Mus musculus: one gene and its partners. The protein of the gene in region 3 purifies or fractionates together with the protein of the main gene of each other region. This does not show direct contact. Links are inferred from orthologs where the notes say so. Each region holds a gene or a part of one and is shown on either strand. Other genes may lie near its edges.

Region 1 (5,144 bases), on a different chromosome or scaffold from region 3:
AGAGGCAGGCGGATTTCTGAGTTCGAGGCCAGCCTGGTCTACAAAGTGAGTTCCAGGACAGCCAGGGCTATACAGAGAAACCCTGTCTCGAAAAACCAAAAACAAAAAAAAACAAAAAACAAAAAAATAAAAAAAACAAACAAACAAAACAAAACAAAACAAAACATGCTCTGCTCTCCTCCAAATCTGTAGCCCTGGTCCTTCTGATAGCTGCCTGAACCTAAGAGCCTCATTTGGAGGACATACCCTGACCCTATGAACAGAGGTATTTTAAACTCTGAGCTGAGTGAACCCTGCAATAATGCACACTAGGTTTTGTTAAGCTCTTCAGGGTAACTATACTCCAAAACTAGAAAAAGCCTCTAGAGTTAGGTGGGCTATCAATTTACTTCAGCAGGCTCCCCAATATGCTCATCTTGAGCACACAAGTCTGCTCACCCCAAGAACTCTAACCAGGAGCCCCTCTGGCCTCAGATCCCAAGACTTGCTGGAAGTTGGACATGGGAAGAAGCAAGCGGGATCTCCTTCAAACTCAACCAATGCTAACTGGGTTCTCCTTCCCTCCTTTCCCCTGCCTTTCCCTGGAGGAGGAAGAGGAAGAAGAAGAGGAGGAGGAGGAGGAGGAAGAGGAGGAGGAGGAGGAGGGGGAGAGGAAACATAGTTGGTATGGGATGCCCAGATTCAAGGCTATCTCCTTTCTCACAACTAGCAGCCGCAGCCATTTGGCTGGCCAGCCTGGCCTCAGCATAGACCCAAGGCTACTCTACAAAATATGCAGGAATCCATCTTCCAGTCTTCAACAGGGGCTTTCCCAATGGCATGTTCTCTATCAGCTGCTTTCCAAGGAAATGGGTCTACATAGTGAGTTACAGGACAGCCAGGACTATATAGAGAGACTTGGAAAACCAACCAACCAAACAGACATCCCCAGTGCCTGTAGGAAGCTTCCAGACCAGCTCTAAACAAGCAGAGCCAAGGGCTGACGCAGAGACTCATCAGTGATATACTAGGCCCATGAATCTCCAAAGAAAGCCACATGGGAAAGATAAACCCCGCTAGTATCCTTGGAACCACGTCTATCTCTGTTTATACCCAAACTCGTCATTTTCTTTTTAGATAGGAGTTGAAATGAAGGGGGTCACTTATCCCCACTCCGACCCCCAGTTAGGTATCTCCTGGGTATCTGATTCCTGGGCTGGAGAGATGGCTCAGTGATTAAGAGCGCCGACTGCTCTTCCAAAGGTCCCGAGTTCAAATCCCAGCAACCACATGGTGGCTCACAACCATCTGTAACGAAATCCGATGCCCTCTTCTGGTGTGTCTGAAGACAGCCACAGTGTGCTTACATATAATAAATAAATGAATCTTTAAAAAAAAAAAAAGAAATCTGATTCCTGGGTGGAATATGCATACATCATGAAGATCTATTTCTGAGACTTCTACCTAGAGACACCAGCAGGGGACAGAGCAAGCTACAGTGCACACCTCTCACCTCTCTGGCACATAGGTTGAGAGACATATGGCCTTGTCAGGAACCTGAGGGATAAGGAAAGAGAGGTTGGGCGTGATAGTGTGTGACTGTAATGCCAGACACTTGAGAGAAAAGAGTTCAAGGTGGGCTTTGGCTACACAGCCAGCCTGGACTATATGAGACCCTGTATCAAAAAGCAAGTAACAAAAGTGACAAGGATGTGGGAGAAGGATGGGCACAATCCCCAGGAAAGGAGGTGCAGCTCCCTGATACAGCAATCGTCTGCCACGTGCAAAGCCCTGCCTGGATTCCATGCTCAGCACCAAAATGCAAAAGCAAAACAAAATTCCCAAACATTCTGGAGCCACTTGAACCAGAGCTCTGGGGAATGAGGAGCGCCACATGCAGAATCAGGCTGAGTTCCCAATGCACTGACCACGGGTCCTGTCTCTGCTTGTCAATGGCCTTTGATGCTGCAACCTGAGACAGCTCTCTGCCAAGACAGAAGGGTCAGGGCAGTACCCTGTGCAGCCCAAGACCAGCAGGACTCCACAAAGCCTCCCTGCTCCTCCAAACTTTACTGGACACTGGCATCAAGAAGGAAAGCCCCGTACAGAGGATATCTTGAATGGTCTGTTAATGGGATCGGGCCTTCTTCAGACCTGGACACAGCTATTTCTAATCTATCCTGGAGTTATCTGGGCCCAATCTCTTTAGTCTCCCATTTCGTAGGAAGCCTGGCTTCCTTCCTCCTCAACTTGAGCAGCTGGGAGCCATCTCAGACATACTAACGCTCTGCCAGTTCCCAACTAGGAAGAAAAAAAAAAAAAAAAAGAAAGAAAGAAAGCCAAGGCAGAGATGCAGTGGGACCGAGGCCAAAGAAAGAGTAACCCTGTTTTCTCACTAACGACCCTCTTCCAAATTTTCCTCACCACATCCCGGGTCACTCCCTCACCTCCACTCCGGGACCTGTCTTACACTTTCAACCTGATTGCCCACAATTCTCTAGATCTCACGAAGCCTCCATCTCTAAGTTACTCGGAGCCAAGAAGCCCCGGGACTCCTCTAACTGCTCAAGCCCTCCACCGCAGAGGGCTTTCACCCTTTCCCCAACACTGCCTCCAACCCCGAGCCACTAACCAAGGGACTCTGGCCTGCCCGCCACCAGCCCTCGACAGTTCCTCCTGCAGTGTCCCCTGGGCCGCCTGTCCTCACCTGAGGCCCCAGGGAGACCGACACAGCGCCCTCGCGGCGCCGCTCGCCTGCCCTCCTCACCTGGTACTGCGCCGCGGGGCCAGCGGGGCCCATGGGGCGGAAGGCGGCGGCCCCCGGTACCCCCATGCCTCCAGAAGGCCCCGGGCCCCTGAGCGCCGGGCTGGGCAGCATTCCGGGTCCCGCAGGCGGAGGCGGCGCACCAAGGGCCGCGGCAACGGCGCCGCCGCCGGGGCTCAGCGGAGGCAGCGGGAACCCGCCCGCGCCACGGCCGGACATCACTCTGTCCCGTCCCGCGGTGCAGCGATCCGGCCTCCGGTCTCCGTGTTGAGTCCGCTCCGCGAGCTACGTTCCGCGATCCGGGACTTCCCGATTTTACTACCGGGTTCCGGGATCTTCTACTCCAAGTTCGCAAGTTCTTTGCAGCCCGGCTTTAGGATCCCGCGGCCCCTCTGACTCCGCTCCTGCCAGGGATACTCCAGATCCGGGATGTGCCGCGAGCCCGCAGGCCTCTCCCGGCCTCCGGAGGTTTGATCGCCGGAGTCCAGTTACCCAGAGGCGGTTACGAACTCCCAGCCCCGCCCAACCTAGACCCTGCAGGCCCCGCCCCTGCCCGGCAACCCAATCGAGAATGCCTCTTTAAATCCCGCCCTCGCGAGACCCGCCTCAAACCAGCACCTCCCATAACTGACGGCCTTAGAGCCCCGCCCTTGGGGGAGGCGGCCTTTTCCCGGAGGAGCGGGAGCGGAAGCTGCACGCGGAAGCGCGGAGGAGAAAGGCGTGGGGTCAGAGTTCGAAGGTCGCGTAGGGCCGTCCGAACTGTTAGGTGTTTGCTGTTTGCTCCGTAGTGCTGCTGCCTCGGCGAGATCCCCGATATGGCCCATCCAAAACAGTTCCGTCAATTCTGCGTCTTCAAGCCTTAAAAATAAGCGATCCGCGGCGGGAAAGCCGCCAACCACTTTTTAAGAGCCCATCTCGGGGCCGGTGGCATAAGGCACCCCACACCCACCCACCCATCTACCCCCAGAAGCCTGTATTGGTTGCTCCGCGCTTCCAAGGACATGGGCGGCCCCAGACGTGACCCAGCTGAGTGAAAGCTTGGCTTGGCCCAACTCCGAGTACTTAACTGCACTAACTTGCCCGTGCCTTTCTTTAAGGAAGCCTGGTAATTCGCAGAAAATGTTTTTAGGTGAAGGGATTTTGCATGCTGAGAGAACTCCAGGTACTGAAATAAGTTTTATCCAGTTTGTATAGGACTTAGTTTTGAAAAGTTGAGAATCAGCCGGGCGTGGTGGCAAACGCCTTTAATCCCAGCACTTGGGAGGCGGAGGCAGGTGGATTTCTGAGTTCAAGGCCAGCCTGGTCTACAAAGTGAGTTTTAGGACAGTCAGGACTACACAGAGAAACCCCGTCTCGAAAAACCAAAAAAGAAAAGAAAAGTTGAGAACCTTTTCAGAAACCACTGGCTTCGGCTATGTTATAGACCTACCCTCTGTCAATGTGGTATCTCCTACCCACGGTATAGAATAGTGCTACTTAACTAGGCACTGAAAATCCTCAGAATCAGGTTGGGGGTGTAACTCAGGTTATAGCGTGCACAAAGCCCTGGGCTTGAACCCCAGACTGCATCAACTACATGGTGGTGCATCCTCAAAATCCCAGCACACAGGAGGAGGCAGGTGGGCCAGAAGTTCAGGATGGTTCTCAGCTGCATCACCAGTTGATTCTACAGGAGACCCTATATCAGAAGAAAGCCGAGCTTTTTGTTAAAATGTGGTTTATGGTTCAATGAAATGGGGGCAGGGTACAAGATTCTGTATTTCTTTTTTGGTTTTTCAAGATAGGATTTCTTTGTGCAGCCCTGGATGTCCTGGAACTAGGTCTGTAGACCAGGCTGGCCAAAGATGACATAGGCTTTGGTCTTTTGACTAAACTGCTTTTGTTAACTTGTCCAATAAAGAGTTGTCCTGTAGGTGGGTTGATCTCACTTGTGTGCCACAAAGCTTTTGAGCTTTCAGAGATGGTAGCAGGTCCCAAAAATGTCAGGGAAGCAGGGTCTCGAGACCAAAGCCAGCATGAATTACTTATATGAAAAGTAAGGTCTGGATCAGTTACCTAAGACTGTCTGGGCAGAGTGAAGGCTCAGTTACCTAAGAACTAGACCTCCTGGGCAGAGAGAATGGGGGAGGGGGGTCTGTCTCCAGAAAGGCACCTTCAAGTGACTTTGGTTCAGAGCACCTGTTTAGTGGAAGCCATTTGAAAATTAAAGCCCTGAAAGTGCACAAACACACACACACACACACACACACACACACACAACTCTTCTGTGATCACAGTCTTTACATACATAATCTAACAGGCAATCTAAAGTATAGAATCTGCAGACAGTGGAGGGACCAGAGCTGATGTAAAAGAACATGGAATTAGGTCCTAGGAGCTCAGCTTCCCATCCTGGAACATC
Region 2 (4,861 bases), on a different chromosome or scaffold from region 3:
GTCGGGTGCTCTTACCCACTGAGCCATCTCACCAGCCCTCTTTTTCTTTTTTTGAGACAAGGTTTCTCTGTATAGCCCTGGCTGTCCTGGAACTCACTTTGTAGACCAGGCTGGCCTCGAACTAAAAAATCTGCCTGCCTCTGCCTCCCGAGTGCTGGGATTAAAGGCGTGCACCACCACGCCCGGCTCAATCTTTCTTAGATAGAGGCTTGTGTAGCTCATACTGGACTCAAACCCCACAGGCAGTCAACAATAACCTTGAATTTTTGATCTTCCTGACTATCTCCCCAACTACCACAAGCACTACCACATGCAGTTTTAGGGTGCTGGCTAATCAAACCAGGATCTCTTATATGCTAAACAAGCACTCTACCAACTGAGCCACATTCCTAGCCTCAAAAAGCACACACTGAGGGCAGAAAGGACTTCTTACCCATAGCATCCCGTTTACCCATAAGGTGTCTAGATCGCATCAGGGTGGATTTGGGAGTGAAAAGCCTGGCTTGGCTCTAACCACCACATGGACACAGCCATGTAACTAAGTAACCTGTATGAACCTCCATTCCTCTCCCATAGATTGGAGCAGTTAGACTAGATGAGCTCTGACCTACCAGGATTCTGATGAAGAGAATAGGGATAAGAATGCATGAAAAGCAGGAAGGAGTAAGGTCTCAGTGTCTAATGCTATTACTAAAGCTGTATCAACAAGCCCTAATGTAGACTCTGATGGGGACTTTCACTGAGCAGTCACAAGAGACCACTGCACAGCTTAGTTTGTTCCCAGCAAACACAGCACACACAGCAACACTACAAGTACAGCCTGAGTGGGTTCAGTGAGCAGGAATAACTATAATTAAGGGATAAATGTGCTGGAGAGCACAGCACAGAAGAGAGCAGGCTCACACTGGCTCGCCTTTAGGAGGCAGCCACGTCCTTACCACACAGGAAAATTGGATAAACAAGGCTGACTGCAGCAGCTCCTTTGTTTCTGCTGATGGGAATTGATACTGACACTGGAAGTCAAACGGAAGAAAGGACCAGCCCTGTGGGGCTGAAGACTGCAAAGTCAGAGTGCGGAGCCTGAGGGAGGCCTGGAGGGATGACTGGAACGTCCAGTCGGGGCCCCTGCAGGCCAGGTAAGATTCTAGAAGGCCAAGCAGGTGCTCTAGTAGGAAAGATGGCCGGATAAGACTGCATGAGTGTGTGCATGTGTGCGTGTGAAGAGAGCAAAAGAGGAGAGTGCACACAAATTCAAGACTCTGTAGCAAAAAATTCCAAGCTTCTGTTATTCTATGGATAGCCTTATATAACTCTAGAAAGTTTTAAAAACTAGCTGGCAGCCATGGTTATTTTAACACTAGTATTTACTCTAATAAGACCACTATAAAGACTATTTCAACCATGACGTTGTAATTGAGAAAAACAGAAAATTAAGACAGAAAGTCTTCTCACACGGCAAAAAATGAAAAAGATGAGCTAGTGGTCTTTCCCTCAGTGAGTGATGGCAGCTGACAGAAGACAGAAGCATACTATTTTTTTTAAAAAGGCATCAGAAAGGCATCTTTCCAGAGTGAGAATGGTGTGAGAATCAAAGCCTTCCCTGTAAAGGGAAAGTTCCCCGGGGAACATGTTAGGAGCTTCCAGTCTTCTGCACTACAGCTGAGGAGAAGCAAGTTAGTGCCCCACTGATACTCAGGAACCAGTGAGTTAAAGAGGCATGAAGAGCAATGCTCTATTTAAATGGGCACCCAACACTTAAAATACTACACCAATGGGTTGGCAACTCCATTTTCTGCCAGACCATCTTTCAACATGAAGAACTCCATTGACATCTAATTCTGAAAACCTAGGCAAGCATATTCTTTTAGACAGTAAGATTTTCAGGGTAAAAGCTGTGACTCCTCCTTTCACAGGAAACCTGGGGGGTGGGGAGGGGGCACAGGACAACTCCCCTTCCAGGGGAATAAGGGGGGTCCAACAAAGAGAAAGGCAGGGTAATAAAGACTTAACTTCTGAGTCCAGAAGGAGAACTATAAAATTGGTAAATTAACAGCCTCATTTCTAAATTGAGGGAAATGTCAGCCTGAAGAGAGCCGGGGATCCGGAGTGGGCAGATCACAGAGATAATAGCGTTGGGAGGAGGGGTGGTTGAAATAGGCAGCAGGATGAAGCCAAAAGCGAGATTAAAAAAAAAAAAAAAGCCACAAGAGAAGGCACTTAGCTTAATGGAAGTGGAAAAGCATTTTCAAAGAAAGGGGCTGCAAGCAGCAGGGAAGAAGCAACTTAACCTTAAAAAAAATTTTTTAAAAGCCTCTTGGGACGATTGGGGCTCAGCCCACGACAAAGACAGATAAAGCTGCGAAAAGTCCTCCAGAATGGTTCCAAAACCTTTACTTTGTCATCCAGAATCCAAAAGCTTTGATTGGACAGCTGAAACACTTCAATTTCTCTATCCTTACATCACGTCTAACATGGCCATTAAGGGAAGAGAAGGCCATTCTTAAATCCAATGGGCACCCCGTTCCAAAACTCTGATTCTTCTTCAAGAAGGAAGGAAGAGCCTCATCCAAACATCTCCAACTGAGGGGAAGCGACTAGCAGGCCAGTCCCCGTTCCCGGTGTCGCCCAACAACCGTTTATTTCAGCTCCACTGGAAATCTGACCCGCACAATGGCATCTGGGGGACAGAGAACGCCCACCTCAGGGCTCCTGCGGACTGGAAGGCCATCTGGCTCCGGTCTAGTTCCCCACTCCCCGAAGTTCTGCTCTTGGACCAGTTCTTCCCAAGAACATTTTTAGTTTCGTGGACCCCGGATTTCCCGGTTAACGTCACCAGGCTGCTTAAGTCTTAGGACTCCGCAGGGACGGCGGAGCCTATGGCCCCAGGGACGGCGGTGGGCGGGGAGGGGACCCCGATCTCCTAGTGCCGCCGGCCTCGGCTTGGCGGGACTGACGCGTCTCCAGAGAGGGGCCAGGGACCGTGAGCCTCTCCTTCGCAGCCCGCAGCTCCGCTCGGGGCTCGGCCCGCGAGGAGGACACCCGTCGGGGGCTCCGGTGTGCCCCCCTCCAGTCCTCCACAAGTTTCCAAAAGAAGCCCAGCGCCGTCTCCCGAGTCTCCTGTTGCCCTCCCTCCCAGCAGTCGCACAGCAAGGACTTCCCGGGCATGTCCTTCTCTCTACCTTGTCTCTTCCCGCACCTCCCTCTCTACTCCCAGGTCCTTTACAAGATTTCTGGTACATGAGAGATTAAAAAAGAAAAAAGAGACAAACAAACAAAAAAGACCACTCACAGCTTCACTACATTCTCCACCACAGCCGCCATCTTCCCTGTTCCTCTCCCTCAGGCCGGGAGGCCCCGAAACCTACAACGCGCAGGCGCTAAGCCTTCTCAGGACACAGGGTCCTCGACCCTCTGCGCAGGCGCAGCTAGGGGGTGCGCGCACGCACAGGCCCACGAGAGCGAGCGCTCGAGAACGACCTGTCCTGAAGGAGCCTAGGATCCCAGTGCGCAGGCGCGATTGGAAAACTTACATGCCCTCTGCAGCTCATTCTAGAGATCCGTCTCCCCTCCATTTAGTGACGCCTCAGCTAGGAGATCTGGCTCGGTTGGAAAGTGAGAAAGGTAAGTGAAAAGGCCACGCGGATAGGCTAGAAGTTGCAAACAGTGTCCTGCCTGGCTGGCCGTTAGCCACGAGGTTGACACACAGGGAGAGATTGGTGGGTAGGTAGTGAAAGGTCAGAGTCCCAGTCCTTTAGGTACCTCTGTTCCCAGTCAGCCCATTTTAGAGAATGGAAAGTGAGTGCCCAAAATGGGCTGTTCTTGGGCCTGACTCTCATTCGGACAATTCCTGCCAGTAAACCCGGTCCTTGAACTTCACTGGCACCCACCTCTTCTCTCTTGCTTGCCTCTCTCTCCCTCTTCCTCTCCCTCTCTCTCCCTCTCCCCTCTCCCTCTCTCTCCATTCCTTTGCTCTGTATGTCTGTCTTTGTGTGCGTGCATGTGCCATAGCATATGTGTAAGAGTGAGAGAGCAGCTTGGGGATGTGAGTTCTTTCATTCTACTTTGTACCTGGGGGATGGTGGTCAGGTTGTCAGGCGTGGTGCCCAGAGTCCGTATCTGCTGTGTCATCCCACAAGCCCTTGATTGCTATTACCAAGCCATTCTCCACATTGAAAGTTTTCACTGGTGTGACTAGCCCTCTTAGTTCTATACTATTTATTTCTCCTTCAGTATCGAGTTATGCAAATCCATGAACAAACATGTTTCCCCTTAAAGAAGAAACCAGCCGGGCGGTAGGGGCACACACCTTTAATCCCAGCACTTGGGAGGCAGAGACAGGAGGATTTCTGAGTTTAAGGCCAGCCTGGTCTACAAAGTGAGTTCCAGGACAGCCAGGGCTACACAGAGAAGCACTGTCTCAAAAAAACAAAAGCAAAAACAAAAACAAAACAAGAAGAAGAAGAAACCAACAGGACTCCCTTAAGCCCATTGGCACTGCATCTCAGCCCATTTCTTTTCACTCTTTCTAAGCAGATTTTCATTCGTATTCTGTACTGCCCTGTTTTCCTAGGCTCTCTTCTGCTTACTGAGTGCTTTTGTTCCCACCAGGCCTTTTGAAATAACTCCTAACAAAGTCACCAAACCTCGGTTTCAATGGATTTAGAAGCGATCTACTCTCTGTCCATGTTGGACCTGATATATATGTGTATATGTATATGTATGCATAGATTGTCTTTTTTTCTTTAGGAGGTAGGAGGATTGCCACAAGTTCAAGGCCCATGCAGGCTACACAAGCTCCAAGCCACTGGGGCTACATAGAAAACCTGAGGGACAATAGCAACAAACAGCAAAAGTTCCCAGA
Region 3 (4,415 bases):
TATGTAAGTTTCAATGAGACTGAGCGTTACACAGTAACAGTCAATTACCCAGGAAGAAGCACTTTCCATCAGGGTGGGGTATTAGAGAGCCAGGGACTGGGCAGGAAGGAAGGTATGCTCTGAAACAGAATCATCACTTGGCACTATACACACGGCATACAATATGACACGTTCTCTTTAACATTGCACAATATAAATATTATACACGCTGGAGCAAACTAACGCAGAGTAACTTGGAGGCACACAGAAGAAACATGACGGGTGCAGACTTGGGTTAAATCAGTAGTGAGAGGCAGAAGGTCGTGGTTTCAGGCCAGTTAGCTTGCAGGGCCCCATGTCACAGTGGGTTGGCAGCCACCACCCATCCATGAGGGAATTACCACTTCTCAATGTCACCAGAGTTAATTGCTTCAAAGAAGACCTAATTAGCTAAACAATCTGAGAAAATCAAATTGTTGCTCCCACTCTCAAGTAGGAAACCCTGAAAGTCCCTTCTGGCCTTTGGGCATCATTACCAGGAAGCAGTTGTTACATCTTCCCTATTTCCTGTAAATAACTTGGTTACTATGGCAACCATGCTAGGCAAACTAGAACAGCATTCAAGAACACCCATCACAGTGCGTAACAAGATTTAATGTACATTTATTCTTAACATGTGGGACATATAAAGATTTTATACTGAATAAATGATATTCATTAAGCCAGAGGAAAAGGAGGAATTTACATCAAGTTTTTTTCTTTTTTTTTCTTTTTTTTCTTTTCTTAAACTACATTATCTTGAAATACAAATGTGGATTCTTGTCACAGAAAAATCTTTGAAGTTGTGTTTCTTCCATTTAGTTGGTTTTCTTTCTTTTTTCTTTTTTTGTATGTACTGGTGTCCATTTTCTAAATCAATCTGTATGCAACCATTTCCACACTTTGATTCATGAAGCAAACTGGGATCAGCCGCTCTCCCAACAGAGCATGACTTTATACATACAGAAACTTGTACATTACCCTCTTTTTTTGTTTGTTTTTATTTTTTGTATTTTTTGTTTCTTTTTCTTGTTTTTTGGAGATATGGTCCTAATGAAAAAATATATAAAATAAAAATAAAAAATTATTTAAATCTACCATCACTTCGTAGTTACCACATCATGAAAAAGAAACTAAAAACTTTGTACTAAAAAAAAAAAAAAAGAAAAAGAAAAAAAGAAAAAAAGAAAAGAAGAAAAAAATGAGGGTATGTTTAATGTACAACTTCTATATACATCACAGCCCATAGGCAGTAAAAAAAATATTTAAAAAAATGATGAAAGAAATCTTGAAGCTTTGTCCCGTGGAGGCTGAGCCACAGCAGACATGGCGGTCGTGGTGAGGAAGCGATCCTGCTGTTGGCTGCTAGGAGTGGATTTTTGCACCTATCTGAGAGCGCTGTTTTTTGCTCGAGGCCTAACGTAACCACTTTCCGGTGGAGAAAGCAGTATCATTGACCCTGACTACTGCTGCCATACCTCCTTCAGCCCCTACACTATATCTCTAGAAGTTTCTATTGCACAGAGCTTTGGGTGACGGGGTGCAGTTTAGCTTTTATCATTCTGTGAAGAATAAAATTCATAGGAAATCAATTTAAGAATCAATTTTTCCTTTCACGTTTTTGACCCAGTGTGGTGACATTTTTCTATCTTAGCACTTTTTGCCAAAACGTTTTTCTTTATAAAGTCAATTCACTTCCCAAAGACTGCAATACAACATGAAAAAAATTATGAAAAAACAAACAAACAAACAAACAAACAAAAATTGTGACCTTTGAATGCACTAGACGGCAACTTTGGTTAAAAAAAAAAGAAACAGAAAACCGCCAGAGGATGTACTTATACACACAGACAGCAAATATTAATTTTATAACTGTTCAAATTAATGATTTAATTCCCAATTGGTAAATAGTAAACGGGGCAGAGGAGCAAAGATTTTTCTTTTCCTTCTTCTTACACTGGATAAACGAGAACAGAAAACAGCCAGTTATATGTGACCCTCTAATGTTCACTCACACATGTGTGCCTTCACGGATGTCATAACTGCCCAATCTGAAACAGTACATCACAGATGACAGATGCAACCAGAGAGTTCAGGACAGCTGATATTGAGATATCCAGCAACCGACCCTCGTGCAAAAGGAACTCCGAGCGGTTCTCGTCCACTCTGGCCATGGCCAGCAGAGCTTTGGCCGCCCGGCACATCATGTCTACACTAGGGGGTTCCAGAGGTGGGGGCTGCATGTGCATAAGGTTATGCTGGCTCTGCTGGTACTGCGCCATCGTCACCCCGTCCTCTAGGAAGCTTATCAAGTTACCAATGCTTCCTTTCTGCACAGCTATTGCCCTCGCCGCCAGTGTGTCCCCCTGGGCAAGGTTCGATAAAAGCGCCATGGACATTTCTCGACAGACTGGATTTTTGCGATCCCCAACGTACCTAACTAATGTAGCATAAAATTTCTCCTGACGACTAAATGGAGGCGTGGCCAAGATCAGGTCCACGTTGTTGTCCTGGATACTGAGTTTACACAGGGTCTCCAGCACAAGTCTCTGCGGCGACAGGACTGAGTTGGGCCCCACAGTGGGAAAGGGGTCCTGAGCCTCTGCGGACGGGCACACCATCCAGTGTAGCAAGCCGTCCAGGATCGGCAAGCAGATGCTCTCTGTGTAAGCAGACAAGTCTAGCTGCCCGGAAATGTTCGCCAACGTGACCAGGGTGTTATCCCGCAAGACCTCGAGGCAGTCCCACCACCACTCATCTTTGCTGCAGGCCACCCCCTTGTCCTCGTCCTCCTCCTTCTCATAGGTCTGTGGCGCCCGCTTTCTCTCCGGATGCTCGTGATGCAGCAGAATCAGCTTTCCCAGGATCAGCACCAAGCCCGGGTGTTTGGACATCTCTGCGTCGTTGCCAGGCACGAAAGACAAGCTCCGCACGATGTTCGACACACAGATGCAGCGCTTGGCCAGTGAGTCCTGCCAGTGCGCGATGGTGCACAGCGGCGTCTCGTCTCGGCTCCTGGGCTCGTCTTCCAGGAGCCTGATGTTCCGGTGGCTTTTGGCCTGCTGGATTCCAAAGGGAAACTTGCCGCTGTCGGTCTGGGGTCCTGGGTTGGTGTCTTCAGGCAGAGCCCCTGGCCGGGCAGACAAGACGTCATCGATGGTGGCTATGATACTTTTCTCTGGCTGCTCTTCAGAATCACCTTTGCCTTCCAGCTCTTTCTTCTTACCCGTGGAGCTTAGAGGCGGAGGTGGACGCCTGCGAGGAGGGATCTCCATCTTGCTCTCGAAGTGAGTCTGGATGTGCTCGGTAGTGTCGCCACCACCCAGCTGCCAGTGGAGGAGCCCGCTGCTGAACTCCTGCACTCGGCCCAGCTTGTCGGACCGGTCCACCACAAACAGCTTGTTCTTTTTGACAATCTTTATGGGCAGCTTGTCAAACTTACTGGCCTGCTTTGGCGTCTCCTTGGGGTCCACGGAGGCATCTGGAGCAGCTAGGGCAGGGCTGCTCTTCCCCTCTGACTCTATCTTTTCACTGTCTTCCTCCTCCTCCTCTTCCTCCTCCTCCTCTTCCACAAGACACTCAGCATCATCGTCTTCCTTCCCAGAATCATCTTCCAGGGACTGGCTGTCATCTTTCTTCCCTGAACGGTGATCAAGAGCCTTTTGGCTGGGGTCACCCACTTCATATTCCATAAGAATTCCGAAAATGTCAATTAGGCATTTTCGAAAGTACTCTACTAATAGTTCCAGGAATCCAGACAGCTAGAGAAGAGGGGAAAGAGAACACATACAGGGTCAGGACCTCAGCTTTGACAGTGTGGGCAAGAGCCTGAGCCTAGGGCAGCTTTGGGTCAAGACTTCCATATTGTTTAATGTCCTTCTGACCAGACCCTAGAGGGCACACCACACGTCTGAGAGCTACCATCCTGATGATGGACCAAATGTGCACGAGTGTGTCTCTGCTCTCCTGACAATTGGCACTGCAGGCACCGGCACCAGCCTTCCTTGGTCATGGCTCCAAAGTGTGGAGAGTCCCACCGCTCTCTGTGGCTTGCATGACTTAGGGGGTGCATTGTGAGGAGCAGGAGCAAGGCTTTTATAGACTCTTGCACCCAAAGTGAATCTATTTGCTCCTCTACTGTTTATGTGGGAGTCGCCTGCTGGGCTTTTTATGGTTATTATTCTTAGGGTTTATGGTTATTCTTGTCTCAGGTGCCATAGGTGCCCTGATTTATGCTCTCTCTCTCTCTTTTGAAAGAGATAATCTCAGTAACGTAGCAGCTTCATAAAGAATGAAAATTATAAACAAATCAATTTAGTCCCTGATAAATGAAGGAGACTGCTTTATAAAATGCAATTTTACATTTCAGTTATTCACAATGCTAAATGAAAGACAAG
Region 4 (4,901 bases), on a different chromosome or scaffold from region 3:
TGTGGCAAATGCCTTATTCACTGAGACATCTTGACAGCATCCATTTTAAGTAAACCTTTAGCTGAACTATAATAGACACAAGAAATATTACACAAGTATTAAATGTACATCTTGACAGACTTAAGACCAGTGTGACAAGCGGGTCCCAGAAACCCCTTCTTTTGCTTGGTAGTCCCAATAGTGATCACTGTCCAGACCCCCCCCCCAAAATGTATTTGTTTTCTGTTATATATAGAATTATATGTAGGTATGTATGTATATAATTCTAATTATTCTAATTATTATTCTAATGCATGCTGTCACATCTGACTTCTTTCATCCAAGATCTCTCTTCACTGTTGCACATAGCTGGACTCTGGTGATTCTGGCTGTTCTGTCCGTGTCCATGGTAGAAATAGGTTGTAATTGCTTTTCCATTCCATTCTTTTTTTTTTTTTATAAAGATTTATTGTTATAGCTGTCTTCAGACACAACAAAAGAGGCCGTCAGATCTCATTATGGGTGATTGTGAGCCACCATGTGGTTGCTGGGATTTGAACTCAGGACCTTTGGAAGAGCAGTCAGTGCTCTTACCCACTAAGCCATCTCGCCAGCCCCTTCCATTCCATTCTTTGTGTTGTTTCCAGGTTGTTGCTACTGTGAAAAGAGTCCCAAACTTTCCAGTATTCATATCTTGGTGTTCATACAGACACCACATTTTGTCCTAGTGAGGTTTCTAGTGATGTAATAAACACCATGACCAAAAGCACCTCGTGGAGGGAAGAATGTAGTTCAGCTTGCAGTGATAGTCCGTTATGAAGTCAGGGAAGGAACTTAAAGCAGGAACCTGGAGGCAGGGACTGAAACAGAGACCTTGGAGGAATACTGCTTGCTGACTTACTCCCCAAAGCTTGTCCAGCCTGCTTTCTTAGAGTGTTCAGAGGTGGCACTGCCCTCAGTGGTGTGGGCTCTGCCACATCAACTACCATCAAGAAAATGGCCCCACAGACTTACCCATAGGGCATCTTGATTGAGGCCCTTTCTCCACCAAGGTTCCCTCATCCCAGCTGACCTAGTTTATGTCAGGCTGACAAAAAACTAGGCAAGCACACATTTCTTCTGTTGAGTGTTGATAGCTTGGGAGTGGAAAGTGTTGGAAAACGGGGTTGGTATAAGTTTTTCACTGGAAGACTATCAGTTTTCCAAAGTATCTCTACCAATTACACAACCTGATTCAAGGAATGCCAAGTTGCTCTGCTACCCCATCTACATGGTCTTTCTCATTCCCGCCATTCTGGCTGAGGAGGCCCGCTCTCCACTCGCAGCGTCTGGCGCGTACTTGGCACTGTTCATGGGACTGTTCAATGAATGAATGAACAAATTAAGTTGGGCAGCGTAGAATCAAACAGCCTGGAGAGGGCAGACGCGCGCACAGAGCATTTCAGGGACGCCCACCCGCCGCGGACGCACACCAGGACAGTCCCTCTCGCGCACCCCTGAGCCCACGTGGCCGGAACGCACCGCCTCGCTCGGGCCGCGCGCGTCCAGCCGCACAGCTGCCCCCCAGCTCTCCCTCTCCGTGGCTGGCAGAGGGCGCTGTGCGTCCGTGCGCCCCGAGGGGCGGGCCCGGGCCGGGGCGGGGCTGGCCGGGCTTCCAGGCCGGGGCTCTAGCAGCCCGCGCCGCCCGGGCCGCTCCGGGGACGGGCCGGGGCGGGGCGCGGTCTTAGGAAGCCAGGCGGGGACGCGCGGAGGCGTTGGGGAGCGAGGGAGGGCGCGGCCAACTCCCGGAGGGACGGCAGGCCGAAAGAGCGGCGCTGGGGCCTGGCGCTCAGCCTGAGATCGCCGGACCACAGGCCGCCCCGCCACGGGCTCTGTCCCGGCCCCAGCCCCGCCAGCATGGCCGGCCGGACCGTGCGGGCCGAGACCCGGAGCCGGGCCAAAGATGACATCAAGAAGGTGATGGCGACCATCGAGAAGGTCCGGAGATGGTGAGCGCTGCCCCCGGGCCAGGGATACAGCCAAGCCACCTCCTCCAAACGCGTCCGCCCTTTCCTGGCCCGCTGCCCCCGCCCACCAGCTGTGCTCTGAATCGACAGGGCGCCCCCTTTCCCCGGCAATTCCCAGAGGTCTACAAAGCGTGGTCCGGAGTGGTGCTTTCCCTGAGCGGGAGCCCTCATCTATGCCCCGCCCCCTGAAGCTTTTGACACTCTAGCAAGCTTGGCCCCGGGTCTTCATTGCCAGAGTCCCTGGCCAGGCCTTGGTGGCGCCCTGCTGAGTGCCCCAGGTGTCTGCAAAACCGCAGCTCCAAGTTATATCCGTTTCTGCTTTGCCCTGGGGTTTGAGGGCTCTTTCTGCTTCTGTGCCAGTGTTAGCGAAGCTGTCCCTACCCTAGCACACCTCCCTGACCTCCAGTCTGTGGGGCTCATCCTTGGGCCTCCCTGATCCAGTCTCCTGACCTCCCACAGGGAGAAGCGCTGGGTGACTGTGGGAGACACTTCCCTTCGAATCTTCAAGTGGGTGCCTGTGGTGGATCCCCAGGAGGAGGTGAGCAAGCCCCAACCCCCAACAGGCCTTGCATCTGTGCAGCCTCAAGCAATTTCCCTCCCAGCCTTGGCCTCCACCTTCAGTCGGCTTGGAGACTCCAGTGTGGAGCCCAGGCAGATGGTAACGATTATTAGGGGGCGCGAGCGCACTTACACACACACACACACACACACACACACACACACACACACTTTCTCCAAGTTCAAGGCCTAACTCAATCTACACAACCTGATGCAGCACCTTTCGCTTCTCTGAGCCTAGGTTTCCTTATTCGTATTGAAGGGCTTTGTAAGAGCTCCCTAGACAACTAGCTCTGATCTTACCTCTCTAACCCCCAGGAGAGGCGGCGGGCAGGAGGCGGGGCAGAGAGATCCCGTGGCCGGGAGAGACGTGGTAGGGGCACCAGTCCCAGAGGGGGAGGCCCCCTCATCCTACTGGATCTCAATGGTATGTAGAGATTCTGGAATGGAGTTGGGTGGGGGGGACTGAAGGAATCCCCTGGGGATCTCTGGCTAATTAACGCGCGGCTTTTGCTTCATCAGATGAGAACAGCAACCAGAGTTTCCATTCTGAAGGTTCATTGCAAAAGGGTGCTGAGCCCAGCCCTGGGGGGACGCCCCAGCCCAGCCGCCCTGGATCACCAACTGGACCCCCAGAAGTGATTACTGAAGATACTCAGCCCCCACAATTGGGTCAGGAGAGAGGTAGGGCCCTGTGGCTCTCAGGAGCCCTCTCATCAAAGTTGAACCCACCATCCTGTCCTTGTTTCTTATATTATGTCCTCTCACCCGGTCCCGCCTCCCTCAGGGAATCTTCCCTGACCCTGGCAGAGATCACCTCCAGCTGTGCCTCAATCCTCCGGCTTCTTAGATCTGTAGGGAGCATATCACCAGCTGACTTTTTTTTTTTTTTTTTGCAGATTTATTTCTTTGCTTGCTTATTGTCTTTTTCTGTTATCATCTCCTGTCAGCCATACCGATCTTGATCATGTGGGATGCGTAATAGATGTTCAGGGAATAAATAATTCCAATAATCATAGGGATTAATAGCAGTAGATTAACAGCTAACAGAACCGCTTGTCTGTGAGTCGTTCCTCTGAGCACTCCGAAGTTCTGTTGTTTGTTTTCGCATTTAATCTTCACTGTCATCTTTTGGGACCAATGATTCTATCATGAGTCCTCTCTGTACACGAGGAGACCAACATCCAGAGAAAGATGCCCAGACTTAAGAGCCAGTGAGCAACACCTTGGGCCTGAGCCTTCTTCAGCTCCTCTGTCTTCAAATAGTCCACCCCTTGTCTGGTCAGTACCACTTCCCAGGCGTGCCTGACTCCTGTGCCTTTGGCTCTGCCTTCTCGTTTCTCCCTTGTACCTGCTCTGGCCTCCACGCCTGTCCCCGGTGGCTGCAGAGCAGCTCTCCTAAAGCACACGTTCGAGACGGCTATTTTCCTGCCTCACATCCTTCTTCGGCTCCCCGCAGCCTCTGGTTCCTTCACTTCACACTGAGGCCTTGACAAACTGTTGCCGCCAAAATTGTTCCCCTGTCAAGAACACCATGACATGGCCCCTGGGCCATACCGAGATTGTTCCAAATACTTTTGCTAATATAAACGGATAGGGCAGGGGAAGCGTCCAGTGGTAGGTGCTTATCTGACATGCCTAAGGCCCTGAGCCCCATCTCTACTACCACAGAAATGTAAGAAATGAATGAGTAAGTGAATGAATGAACTTGCTACCTGGCACTTACTGAGCAGCTCCACCCTTGACCCCCACACACAGCAGCCTCTCGTGGTCTGACTGACACTATTTCCATTCTGCAGATGATTTAGGATCCGTGGTTGCTAAGCATCTATTTCTGTCTGCCTAAGTTCTGCTCTACCTCTGTTGTCTCCTGGCTCACTCCCCACTAACGAGATCCAACCTGACTGAGTCTGCCTTCCTTGGCAACTAGGGATCCCCCTCTGCTGCTGCCATATGTGACCAGTGCCTGCCTGCTTCTTTTGTCCCTGATCCATTCTCCCACCACAGAGTAGCTGCTTAGGAAGTCTCTCTTTGCTTGGTATTACAGATCCAGGGGGGACACCTGCAGGCGGTACTGATGAACCCCCAAAGCTGACCAAGGAGGAGCCTGTTCCAGAATTGCTAGAAGCTGAGGTGAGAGAGGCCAGAGTCTGCACTCTGGCCTTGTGGGGACTGGAGGCTTTGGGGAAGCAGGGAGACTTGGTGCTAGGCTTAGCTGGAGGTTGGATTCTTGGGTGAAGAGTATTACAGACAGCACCCTGAGGGCTGCATCATGGCTGGTAGAAGAGCAGCGAGAGCCTGGAATGATCTTGGTGCTCCTCTAAGGACTTAAAAAATAAATAAATAAATCTAGGCTCA
Region 5 (4,415 bases), on a different chromosome or scaffold from region 3:
AAGAACTACCATTCCTGGAGAAGGGATGTGCATGTGTATGTGTGAAGGTATATAGATACCTCCTTCGTAGTAATGTTGTGAGGAATCCTCATAAGGCCTATCGTAGCCTTGTTCAGGATACGACGGTTGCTGATAACCGTAATCATTATGACCTACATCAATTCGACAAGAGACAGGAAGAAACGTTAATGGCCACTGAGTGAAAACCCTACAATTAAACTTTAAGATAAAACTGAAGAAAAAAAAAAAGAAAAAGAAATGGAAATACATAAAAAAATAATCTTAATTGCATTAGCAAGTATTTACCAACGTGAAAGCTTTCACTGTGAGATTATAAGCATACTATTTCAAGGCAAAGAACAGTAATCTTAGAAATGTTACACTCATCCTCCAAACTGTGATAATCCTCACTGAGGACAAAAAACCCTTACATCCTATTTTAAAAAAGAAAGTGAGAACATTTAGGCCTCTCACATGTAAGAAATTCGAGACCAATCAGAATGAACAAAGGATGGAAGTTATCATAGTTTAATCAAACCCCTGTTCTACTGGACGCCATTTCCAGCACACACTAAAAACAATACAAAATATGAGGTCCTTGAGTTTGTACTCCGAAAAGAAGTGAAGTGAGTTTCTAACACCTCTAATATTTTATTGCATCAAGTACAAGTGTTTCACAGTATTTCCAGATGCCAAAAAAAGTCATTTTTTTTTAAAGATATGGTCTCTCACCCTGGGTTCCTAGAGCTCGCTCTGTAGACCAGGCTGGCCTCAGACTCACAGGGACCCACCTGACTGGCACCCAAGTAAAAATGTATCTTATAATGCTGTCATTTAAAGCTTCTTTAGAAATATTTCTAGAGTATTCTGCACATAAAAGTTCATAAAATTCATATTTCCTGAGTTGGAGAACACCTTAAGTTTTATGACTCAGTAACTTCCACCAGTAGACTATTTTTTTTTTTAATTCTTTAATGTTTCACTTAAAAACGAAATGTAGGAACTAATGTCTTCAGTTGCTAAATGGGTACTAATGCTCCAGAAAGGCCTACTTAGGACTGTAGTCACAAACACATGTCACACTCACTGTGTTAGGATGAAAGTCTCTAAGAGCTGGCAATGTATGATCAACCAGCTTACTGTGGCCGTGGCCGGCTGAGATCAAAGTTCTATTGTGACCCAATCATGTCTGCTCACTTTAAGTGCTGCCCACAGCAGCTCTCTTGCTATCTTTAAAGGTCTGCAATGTGACAGCAAGACCACATGGCCCACAAGGACCAAAACCTTCACTGCCTGGCCCTTTGCAGAAAAACTCAGGCAAACACTCACCCATGTATTTATGGGCAAGACTATCTGGACCTGAGAGAAGATACTCACTTTTGCCTAAGGAAATGTAATTGTGGCTAACACTCTGTACTTGTCAGGGCCTACTATACATACATCTGTGAAACCATGGTACTACTTAGACTAAGAACAAGCTAGCACAAGTAATAAATGTTAAGTTTCAATAGTTACAAAAATAAGGTGCCTATTTTCAATAGAAAGGTTTAAAATAAGACAAAGTTCGTATTTCAGGAAATGTTCAGGACCCAAAACCATTAAGTTCAACACAATTGCTTAAGATGTACTTTAAAGTTGATTTAAAAGATCATTTATTCTGAGATTACTTCTATTTACCAGATAGATGCCACCTTTGAAATCTTCTATAAATGTACTATTAATAAAGTCTAAATTTCAGAAAAAAAAAAGCTTCATCTATCCACAAAGAATTAAGGAGAGGAAAAAGCCCCAATACTCTGAATACCAATGGCAAGAAGACCTGAGATTAAAAGCACACAGCTCTAAGCGGAGTTATGCACCATCACTGACCAACGCTTCTGTGTGTAGCCCTGGTGACAGTGCTTAGCACAGACATGCCTTTATGCCTTGTATGCTGACGAAAAGCAGCAGATGAAATGCCATTTGAATGCAAACTCCATCTTCTTGGTGGTTTGCGTTAGGTTCTAGCCAAGGGGTCCTAAACGTTAGTCTGAAGTTTCTTTGCCATATAATTGCGTTAAAAAAAATAACAAAAGAATTTACTTTATGGATGAAATATTTTGGCAAAACACTATGAATTACTATGTAATATTACTTTTTACCTATTAACATTATCTATTATTTTACCGATTCTATGTTGAATGTTTCTTCAAATTAGGATACAAAATTTTCAAACAAAAAGAGTTTTAAACTGCCCAGTAGAAATGCCCTTGTACACCTGGATTATCAGTGCCTGCACTTTCTTAGCGGAGTCAACTTCTTACAAGTCACGTCCCCTTTTAAAGGAGGCAGGGGGAAGTCGCTAAATTATAAACCCAAATGCCTTGCGTACACTCAGTCTATTCAGTGCACCTTATCTACGGCTAGATTGCAGACACATCTTTTCTCAAGAGCAAGCATATAAGGCATAATTCTTTCCCAAGAATGGAACATAAATAAAATGAAAATTACCCAAGAATATTCTCTACAGTCTTATAGAGCTATATTCCTTATATAGAATGCATAAGAGCAAAACAATGAGTGAACTTTATAGCACATGAATTAAATCTATAAAAATACAAAAAAAAAAAAAAGAAGTAGAAGAAGAAATTTGTCTTGGGTTCAAATGAACAATCCTAAATATAAAAAGCTCCTCTTTCACACGAGAGACAATATAGAGATAGAATGTAGCTCCGGATGGACCAACAGTGACCGCACAAATATACTTTGAATTAATTACAAACCAATGTCCTTCCTGGTGGTACTATACAATACCCAAATGCTTTCTTCTAAATGAAGAAACAAGTTGGTAGTTTCTTCGCCCTTCATTAAAGAGTTGTGAAATGCTGTCTGCATTGATACTGGGCAAGGATAGAAACGGGAAGGGTAACATTAGGAGAGATTACCATCAGGGTAATATTGCTGGTTCATGCCTTCTGGAGGACCTTGTCCACCATGACTGTATTGGTCCCCATAATAGTCTTCCTGGCCTGAGTACTGCTGTGGTGGGCCTGAAAAACCACAACCAGTCAAGACATAAATCATTTGTTCTCTATGGCATCAAAGGCGATCGTTCTAATCTGCTGTTACGAGAGACTACTTCTGAGCTGGAGACCCCACCATGCTTTGGCACTATTCCCAGGTACACACACAAGCAGGTCCACACGTCATTTATAAAATTAATATAAGATACACATAATATCAAACAATATCAACTCGGAAAAACAACCTCTGAAACAGGGGCTGAAGCTGGTGGGAACCTGACTTCTTTTTACTTTGACATTAACGCTAAAGCACTTTGAAGTAAAATTGGCTTTGTTCTGTCATATATTTAGTAGCTTCTAAAAAAGGGAGGGGGCATTTTCTGATATTTATATTTCCTGATGTCATCTTTCCCTGGAGAACACCAGGCAACAGGAAGCTGGGTGCTGGGACGCTCCTATGTGCCTAGGACCCTCTGTACCCTAAACCCTGCTCCCTTCGTGGGTGTCAGGGGAGTCCAGCAAAAGCCCTGGATTTACCTAGATCAAAAGTTCATTAAAACTTCAAGCCCTTCAATTACTGTTATTTACATTAAGCACGGAATTTCCCAAATGGCGTCTCACCCTGTTGCGGAGGTCTGTAGGGAGGCATCTGTCGCTGGCCCATCATGTGACTGCCTTGGTTAACTTGGCCCATCAGCCCCATGGGCGCCTGCTGTCCTTGGTAATGCTGTGCCCCTCCAGGTGGCATATTGTACTGCTGAGAAGGAGGCTGCTGGTGCATCATCGGCCCTAAGGACACGCAAAACATCATCATACAGTATCCCGGCACAACAGTTCACCATTTCATGATAGATACAAGAACTTCTTACAACATAATACGCGAGTGTGTGATCAAACAAGGAACACTGACTTCAAATATAAATGAGTCTCTGCACAAAGCTCACAGGCCAGAATTTATCTGCAAATAAGGAAAACAACCAAGACCTGGTGGTGGCCCTCAGGTCCACCAGAGTGCTCCCGTTATCTTTAAAAAACAAAAATGGAGACAAGCTCTTTCTGGCATATACATTTCCTATCTGCATCATCTCACCATCTCTCTGACAAAGCATCCTCCTGCAGCAAGAGGAAAAGGCTGGAGACAAAACCAACAGAAGAAACCAACTTCCAGGCTTCTACTTCCTTCTCTAAGTAGAGGGGAGGAGAAAGATGACTTCTCTGTATGCATGTGAGCCTGCATGATGTATGCACACCGCATGCATGCAGGAGCCCAGACAAGGGAAGGCATCCAGAGAACAGAGTCACAGGTGCTGTGAGCTGCCCGCTGTGAAGGCTTGGGACTGAACACAGGTCCTCTGGAAGAACAGCAAGCACTTCTAACCACTGAGCCATCTCTCTGGCCCTACACTTTCATTC
Region 6 (5,097 bases), on a different chromosome or scaffold from region 3:
CACCCCCACTAACCTGCTCTGCTGGGACACCAGGCAGAAGGGGAAGGAGTGGAAGCTGCAAACTGTGGGTGGGGCAGTGCGCAGGTCATGCCGGCTTCTTCTGCAGGGCAGAGGAAGGGTAGGGGTATTAAAAAAAAATACCTCCCTGGGCTTTCAGGCCGGATGGAATACCAGACACCTTAGCTCTCCTCTACATAAAATACAGAGTTCCTCACTGATTCTGAATATTTCAGATAAATGGATAACTTTTTGGCATGTGTCTCAAATATTTCATGGGATATACTACTTACATAAAGGGGTGTGTGTGTGTGTGTGTTTTGTGTGTGTGTACAGTCTAAGGACAAAACCCAGAGCCCTGTGCATTCATTTTATTTTTTATTTAATTTATATTTTTGAGACAAGCTTGAATGTAGATCAGGCTAGCCTTGAGCTCAGTATGTAGCTGAGGCTAGCCTTGAACACCTGGTTCTCCTGCCTCTACCTTACAAGTCCAAAGGTTATAGGCACGCACCCAGGGGGAACGGTTTATTTTTTAAAAATCACTTTGTTGTTTATCTGAAATTCAAATTTACCTGGATGTTCTGTGTTTTTTCATTTTCATTTCTGGCAGCCCCATGTCCTAGCCAGTGGTGAAATGCATGGTTGGTGCCCACGGTTAATAAACAACCCCCAAAGCCTTCAGGGGTTGATTGCAAGATTGCTGTTACAGACAGGGCAAGACCAGATTTAATGACTCAAGGAAGACCCCTCCGTCTCTATTTAAGATGGGGAGGGAAGCAAATCAAAATTTCTACAAAGTCCACCTTACATAAGGGCCCCTGTGTACTCCAGTGACTCTACCGGACTAGCCAGTCCTCAACAGCTCTGGAAGGGGAGGGGGGGCCCGGAGTCCCCTAGTTGACAGAGTCAAGGAACTGAGTTTCGTATTTTGCCCAAGGTCACTGCTAGGAAGTGAAGTAGAAACTCATGCAGGAGATCCCAAAAGGCCTGGAGTCTTTAGAGGTCATGATATACTTATTTCTCCCAAAAGAACATAGGGTAGAAAGCGGCCACATCCCCCACTGCACTCCCAGGCTTGGCAGGCTGTGAACCCGCTAGCATGGAAGATGAAGCCTCCAGGCCTGCTGCTCTGGGGCCCGCAGGGTGGAAAGCCCCAACCCTCCATCTGCCCGCCCAGCAGAGCAGCTGGCAGACCCAGCCGCAGCTGTCACGGCTCCAGGACCAGAAAGGGAGCTTACACCGGCCCCTTTCTACCCTCCAGGCGGGTGACAGACAGAAGGGACTCTTGCCCTGCTATCAGTTCTTTCTTTGCACCGGGGACTGAGGCCAGGGAGGGGTGCCACCCCAGCCTTCCCTTGAGAGTCCCACAGGAGAGGGGCCAAGGTGCTGGTTTTCCTGTGTTTTGGCCTGCAGCTGTTTCTGCCATTTTTAAATGGCTGCAGTTGGGCACTGGTCGCCCTGCTCAGCGGGGAGCTCCCCGGCACCCAGGACTTGGATCTCAACTTTGGAAAGCCTCCCCTTCTCACGGTTGTGAAAATTCTTTGTCCCATTGGAGCCAAACCCAGCCCACGGCGGGCATCCGGCCATCCGCAGACAGCCCTTTCCATAGGAGGCCCGGGAGCACGTGGACTTTATTGATTTTTCTCGTTGCCTTTTTTGTTGGGTTTCACTCTGAAAGGACAGCTAACTTGTGACACCATCAAACCGGAGACAGGTCCCCAGTAGTGTTTAAAAAAAAAAAAAGGACAACAACAACAGAGGCGTTACTCAAGAAATGACCCCCCCCCCCAAAAAAAAAAAAAAAAAAACAACCCAGCCTGCAGTGGAGCCTAGCCAGTTCCTATAAAGGACAGATCCAGCCAGCGGCTGCTGACACTTGGGGACACCCTCGCAGCTGCTCCTCTCCCTCTCGGACCCAGATGAAGCCGTGGGAAAAAAACCGTAATAAAGTTAAAATCAGGGAGCAGGGAGTTTTCAACAAGTCTGACCCAACCTGGTGGTGGACTACTGGCGCCTCAGGCCTGGCCTCTGGGGCCGCCTCGGTGTCAGATCCCGACGAGGGCCGAGAAAATGTTCCATCCTACTAATTATAACGAGGCCACGCCGGGCAGGATCTAATTTGAGCTTGAAAAACACGCACGGCCCACACCGAATCTCGCGGTCTCCTCCTCCCCCAGTGCAGAGAACAAAAACAACGGTCGCTCGTTCTCTCCGCAAAACAAACACCAGCTCCAGCAAGAAGGAGGCAAGACACGGCCCAGGACTTGGCTTCTGGATGCAAACATCGCGCTCCCCGAGCTTCGGGTGCCGCGCGGAGCGCGTGGGAGCCGTGGGTGCTCCGCGCCCCGGCCGCGCCACCGCCTTCCTAGCGCTCGCCCCCATCTTCCTTCCTCGCCCGGAGCCCTCGCTCCAGGCTGCCCAAAGCGCTAAATTTAAACGGCTCGCGCTCTGCAAACTCCGCAGACTCGAGGGCGCCGAGGCCTGGGAGGCGGGGAGCTGCGGGCGGGTCGGGGCGTAGGATGTGTGTGTGTATGTGTGTGTGTGTGTGTTGGGGGGGGGGGACACCGGCGCCGCGCCGCCCCGGGAGGAGACGGCGGCCCGCTCCGCGCTGCACAATGGAGCTCGCGCTCTGCCCGCCGCCGCCGGCATCACGGCCCCGGCGCGCGGGAAGCCGCTTTCATGTGACTTGCACAAAAAAACGAAATGGCTTCTGGGGCCGGCTGCGAACCCCCCTCTCCCGAGAGCCGAGCTCCGAGCTCCGGGCTCCTGCCGCCGCCGCCGCCGCTCTCGCCGCCGCCGCGCCAGGTGGGTGACCGGCGCCAAGCACACCTGGGCAGCGGACGCAGCCCCCGCGGGGCGCAGGTGACCCCGGCCGCGCGCCCTCGCCAACTCCGGGCCCGGGGCCGCTGCGCCCCGCCGCTCTACGCGCTGGGTCCGGGCTTGCTGGCGGCCGCGACGCGGTGCAGCGAGCCGGGGCGAGCGAGAGAGCGAGCAGGCGCCTCGGCTTACCATTTGCGCACTTTCTCGATAGCCGCCATGACCCTCTTGATATCATCTTTGGCCCGGCTCCTGGTCTCGGCTCGAACCGACCTGCCCGACATGGTTCTGGCGGGGAGGGAGAGAGAGAGGAAAGAGAGAGAGAGAGGGAGGCTGGGGGAGCGCGCCCGCCGGGTCCTGCTCGCCACACTCGCCCGCTCTCTCACTCGCGCACAGACACACACTCACACACATACGCGCACACACAAAGCCTGGTGCCGCCGCGCGCCCGGGGCCCAGTGCGCAAGCGCCGGGGCGGCAGCTGCACAGAGCGAGGGGGAGCGGCGCGGCCGCCAGCAGTGCGGCCTCCGGGTGCCGCCGCCCTCCCCGGGGAGCCTCGGGGACCTCACTCTGGGAAAGCTCTCCCGGGTAACCCCGACCTCCCAGCACGCGGGACGGGCCCGCGCCAGGACTCACCCAGAGGCCGCAGGTGCGATGGGGGGCCCCTCCCCCCCCCAAGACACACACCCTGGGGATGGCAGACTGCAGGCCGTGGGTGCTCTGGCTCGGGTTGGTGGCCGCGGGCGCGATCGTGCAAGTTTCTTGTCGGGCGTTTGAGTTCTCAAGAGTTGGAGGCGGCGGTTCGGGACGCGAGGTGATCTTAGAAAGAGTTGAGGCGCCGGTCTCTGGCCAGCTGCCCTGTTAAAATGTGCGAGCTAGAACGTCTCCTCCCCATGCTTAAACTAGAGTCGTAGGAAAGGTGCCCGAACCCGGTGGCAATTGACATTGTCTCTGGGCTTTCTTTCCCTTAGAGATAAGTTGTCCCAGTCACGGATCAACCTCCCTGGGGTTTGACCGAAAATGACAATTTAATCTTAAACGGCTCCTGGTGGAAGTGCAGTGTAATGACCCGGAGCAGCAGGTAAACTAGACTGGCCCAACACAGAAGGACTTATGAGAGGCTGTCTCCCTACCCTAGGACAGAGCTGGGTGACAGGATCTACCGCGGTCACCCAGTATAGGGACAGGTGGGTGTGCAGTTGCGGCTACACAGACTGGACCAGAGCGAATGCTTGTCCACGTGAATGCTGGGAAAAGAGATGACCTGAAGTGAGAGAGCTGCTACCTGGAGAGGAACTAGCGCAACATCAGTCATTTCACAGATGGACAAACTGAGTCAAGGAGTTATTGAAGGTTGCAGCAGTGACCTTCATCTGTGACTGCCATGATTCTAGTACCAAGCATCTCCCCCTGAAGTCTGGGGGGGTTGCAGGGGTTTGGTAGAGGGAGCTAGTGGGGAAATGGGTGTGAGAATCTGGGGAAATTTCCCCCAGGCTTCTTTTAACCACTTTAAACGCACGGTCCTAAAGCGAAAATTTAAAAATAAGAACAACAATCAGATGTGGTAGCCCACTCCTTTAATTCCAGGCAGAAGCAGGTAGAGATCTGTGGTTCAAGACCAACCTGGTTTATGTAGGTAGTTCCAGGACTACATAGTGAGGCCCTGTCTTAAAACAAAACAAAACAAAAAAACAACCCAAACCAAAACAAACAAAAGCAAAAAACCAACAACAACAACAAAACAATGGAGCCAGGCAGTGGTGGTACACACCTTTAATCCCAGCACTTGGGAAGCAGAAGCAGGCCGATTCTATGTATTCAAGACTCAAAGCCAGTCTGGTCTACATAGTAGTGAGTTCTAGGACAGCCAGGGCCACAAAAAGAAAACCCTGTCTCAAAACAAAATAACACACCCCACAAATATGTCAAAGAATCGTTCTGTGATGGATTGAAAAATGTGCCATAAATCCGAAGTCTCATGCATTTGACCCTCTGTATTTGATCATCAGATATGTGCTTGGACCCCAGGGAATTCATTTTTGTTTAGTGCAGAAATTGTGTATGCTAGGCAAGTGCTACACCACAATTCCCACATAGAATATATGTGTATATATGTATGTGTGTGTGTGTATTTAAATAAGATATATCAAAAGTCCGAATATCTGGTCTGCAAGATGTCTTAGTAAATGTGTTTGCTGCCAAGCCTGCAGGCAAGAGTTCAGGTCTCAGAACTCACGCTGTGGAAAACAGAACCCGTGAAAGTTGTCCTTGGATCAGCAC

The links.
Region 1: the proteins of Arid1b (region 3) and Smarcd2 purify together in Homo sapiens (affinity purification with mass spectrometry; 5 studies listed by BioGRID and IntAct, with this or other methods). This does not show direct contact. The link is inferred for Mus musculus from reciprocal best matches to the Homo sapiens genes ARID1B and SMARCD2.
Region 2: the proteins of Arid1b (region 3) and Dpf2 purify together in Homo sapiens (affinity purification with mass spectrometry; 7 studies listed by BioGRID and IntAct, counting the BioPlex papers as one, with this or other methods). This does not show direct contact. The link is inferred for Mus musculus from reciprocal best matches to the Homo sapiens genes ARID1B and DPF2.
Region 4: the proteins of Arid1b (region 3) and Bcl7c purify together in Homo sapiens (affinity purification with mass spectrometry; 4 studies listed by BioGRID and IntAct, counting the BioPlex papers as one, with this or other methods). This does not show direct contact. The link is inferred for Mus musculus from reciprocal best matches to the Homo sapiens genes ARID1B and BCL7C.
Region 5: the proteins of Arid1b (region 3) and Ss18 purify together in Homo sapiens (affinity purification with mass spectrometry; 4 studies listed by BioGRID and IntAct, counting the BioPlex papers as one, with this or other methods). This does not show direct contact. The link is inferred for Mus musculus from reciprocal best matches to the Homo sapiens genes ARID1B and SS18.
Region 6: the proteins of Arid1b (region 3) and Bcl7a purify together in Homo sapiens (affinity purification with mass spectrometry; 4 studies listed by BioGRID and IntAct, counting the BioPlex papers as one, with this or other methods). This does not show direct contact. The link is inferred for Mus musculus from reciprocal best matches to the Homo sapiens genes ARID1B and BCL7A.

Annotation. Positions count from the first base shown.
Region 1 is NC_000077.6:106,269,747-106,274,890, forward strand, and holds the start of Smarcd2 (SWI/SNF-related matrix-associated actin-dependent regulator of chromatin subfamily D member 2), read right to left. Parts: upstream 3,227-5,144; 5' UTR 2,963-3,226; coding exon 2,747-2,962; coding exon of another isoform or gene 2,687-2,746; intron 1-2,686. Other genes in the region: Tcam1 (testicular cell adhesion molecule 1), read left to right, coding at 3,888-3,905. UniProt on the Homo sapiens protein: Involved in transcriptional activation and repression of select genes by chromatin remodeling (alteration of DNA-nucleosome topology).
Region 2 is NC_000085.6:5,909,452-5,914,312, forward strand, and holds the start of Dpf2 (zinc finger protein ubi-d4), read right to left. Parts: upstream 3,421-4,861; 5' UTR 3,322-3,420; coding exon 3,290-3,321; intron 1-3,289. UniProt on the Homo sapiens protein: Plays an active role in transcriptional regulation by binding modified histones H3 and H4. Is a negative regulator of myeloid differentiation of hematopoietic progenitor cells. Might also have a role in the development and maturation of lymphoid cells.
Region 3 is NC_000083.6:5,340,727-5,345,141, reverse strand, and holds part of Arid1b (AT-rich interactive domain-containing protein 1B), read right to left. Parts: intron 3,780-4,415; coding exon 2,055-3,779; 3' UTR 1-2,054. UniProt on the Homo sapiens protein: Involved in transcriptional activation and repression of select genes by chromatin remodeling (alteration of DNA-nucleosome topology).
Region 4 is NC_000073.6:127,705,502-127,710,402, reverse strand, and holds the start of Bcl7c (B-cell CLL/lymphoma 7 protein family member C), read left to right. Parts: upstream 1-1,636; 5' UTR 1,637-1,875; coding exon 1,876-1,967; intron 1,968-2,444; coding exon 2,445-2,523; intron 2,524-2,861; coding exon 2,862-2,970; intron 2,971-3,065; coding exon 3,066-3,227; intron 3,228-4,590; coding exon 4,591-4,676; intron 4,677-4,901. UniProt on the Homo sapiens protein: May play an anti-apoptotic role.
Region 5 is NC_000084.6:14,637,333-14,641,747, forward strand, and holds part of Ss18 (protein SSXT), read right to left. Parts: intron 3,792-4,415; coding exon 3,624-3,791; intron 3,030-3,623; coding exon 2,925-3,029; intron 153-2,924; coding exon of another isoform or gene 60-152; intron 1-59. UniProt on the Homo sapiens protein: Appears to function synergistically with RBM14 as a transcriptional coactivator. Isoform 1 and isoform 2 function in nuclear receptor coactivation. Isoform 1 and isoform 2 function in general transcriptional coactivation.
Region 6 is NC_000071.6:123,342,634-123,347,730, reverse strand, and holds the start of Bcl7a (B-cell CLL/lymphoma 7 protein family member A), read right to left. Parts: upstream 3,284-5,097; 5' UTR 3,102-3,283; coding exon 3,010-3,101; intron 2,806-3,009; exon of another isoform or gene 2,589-2,805; intron 1-2,588.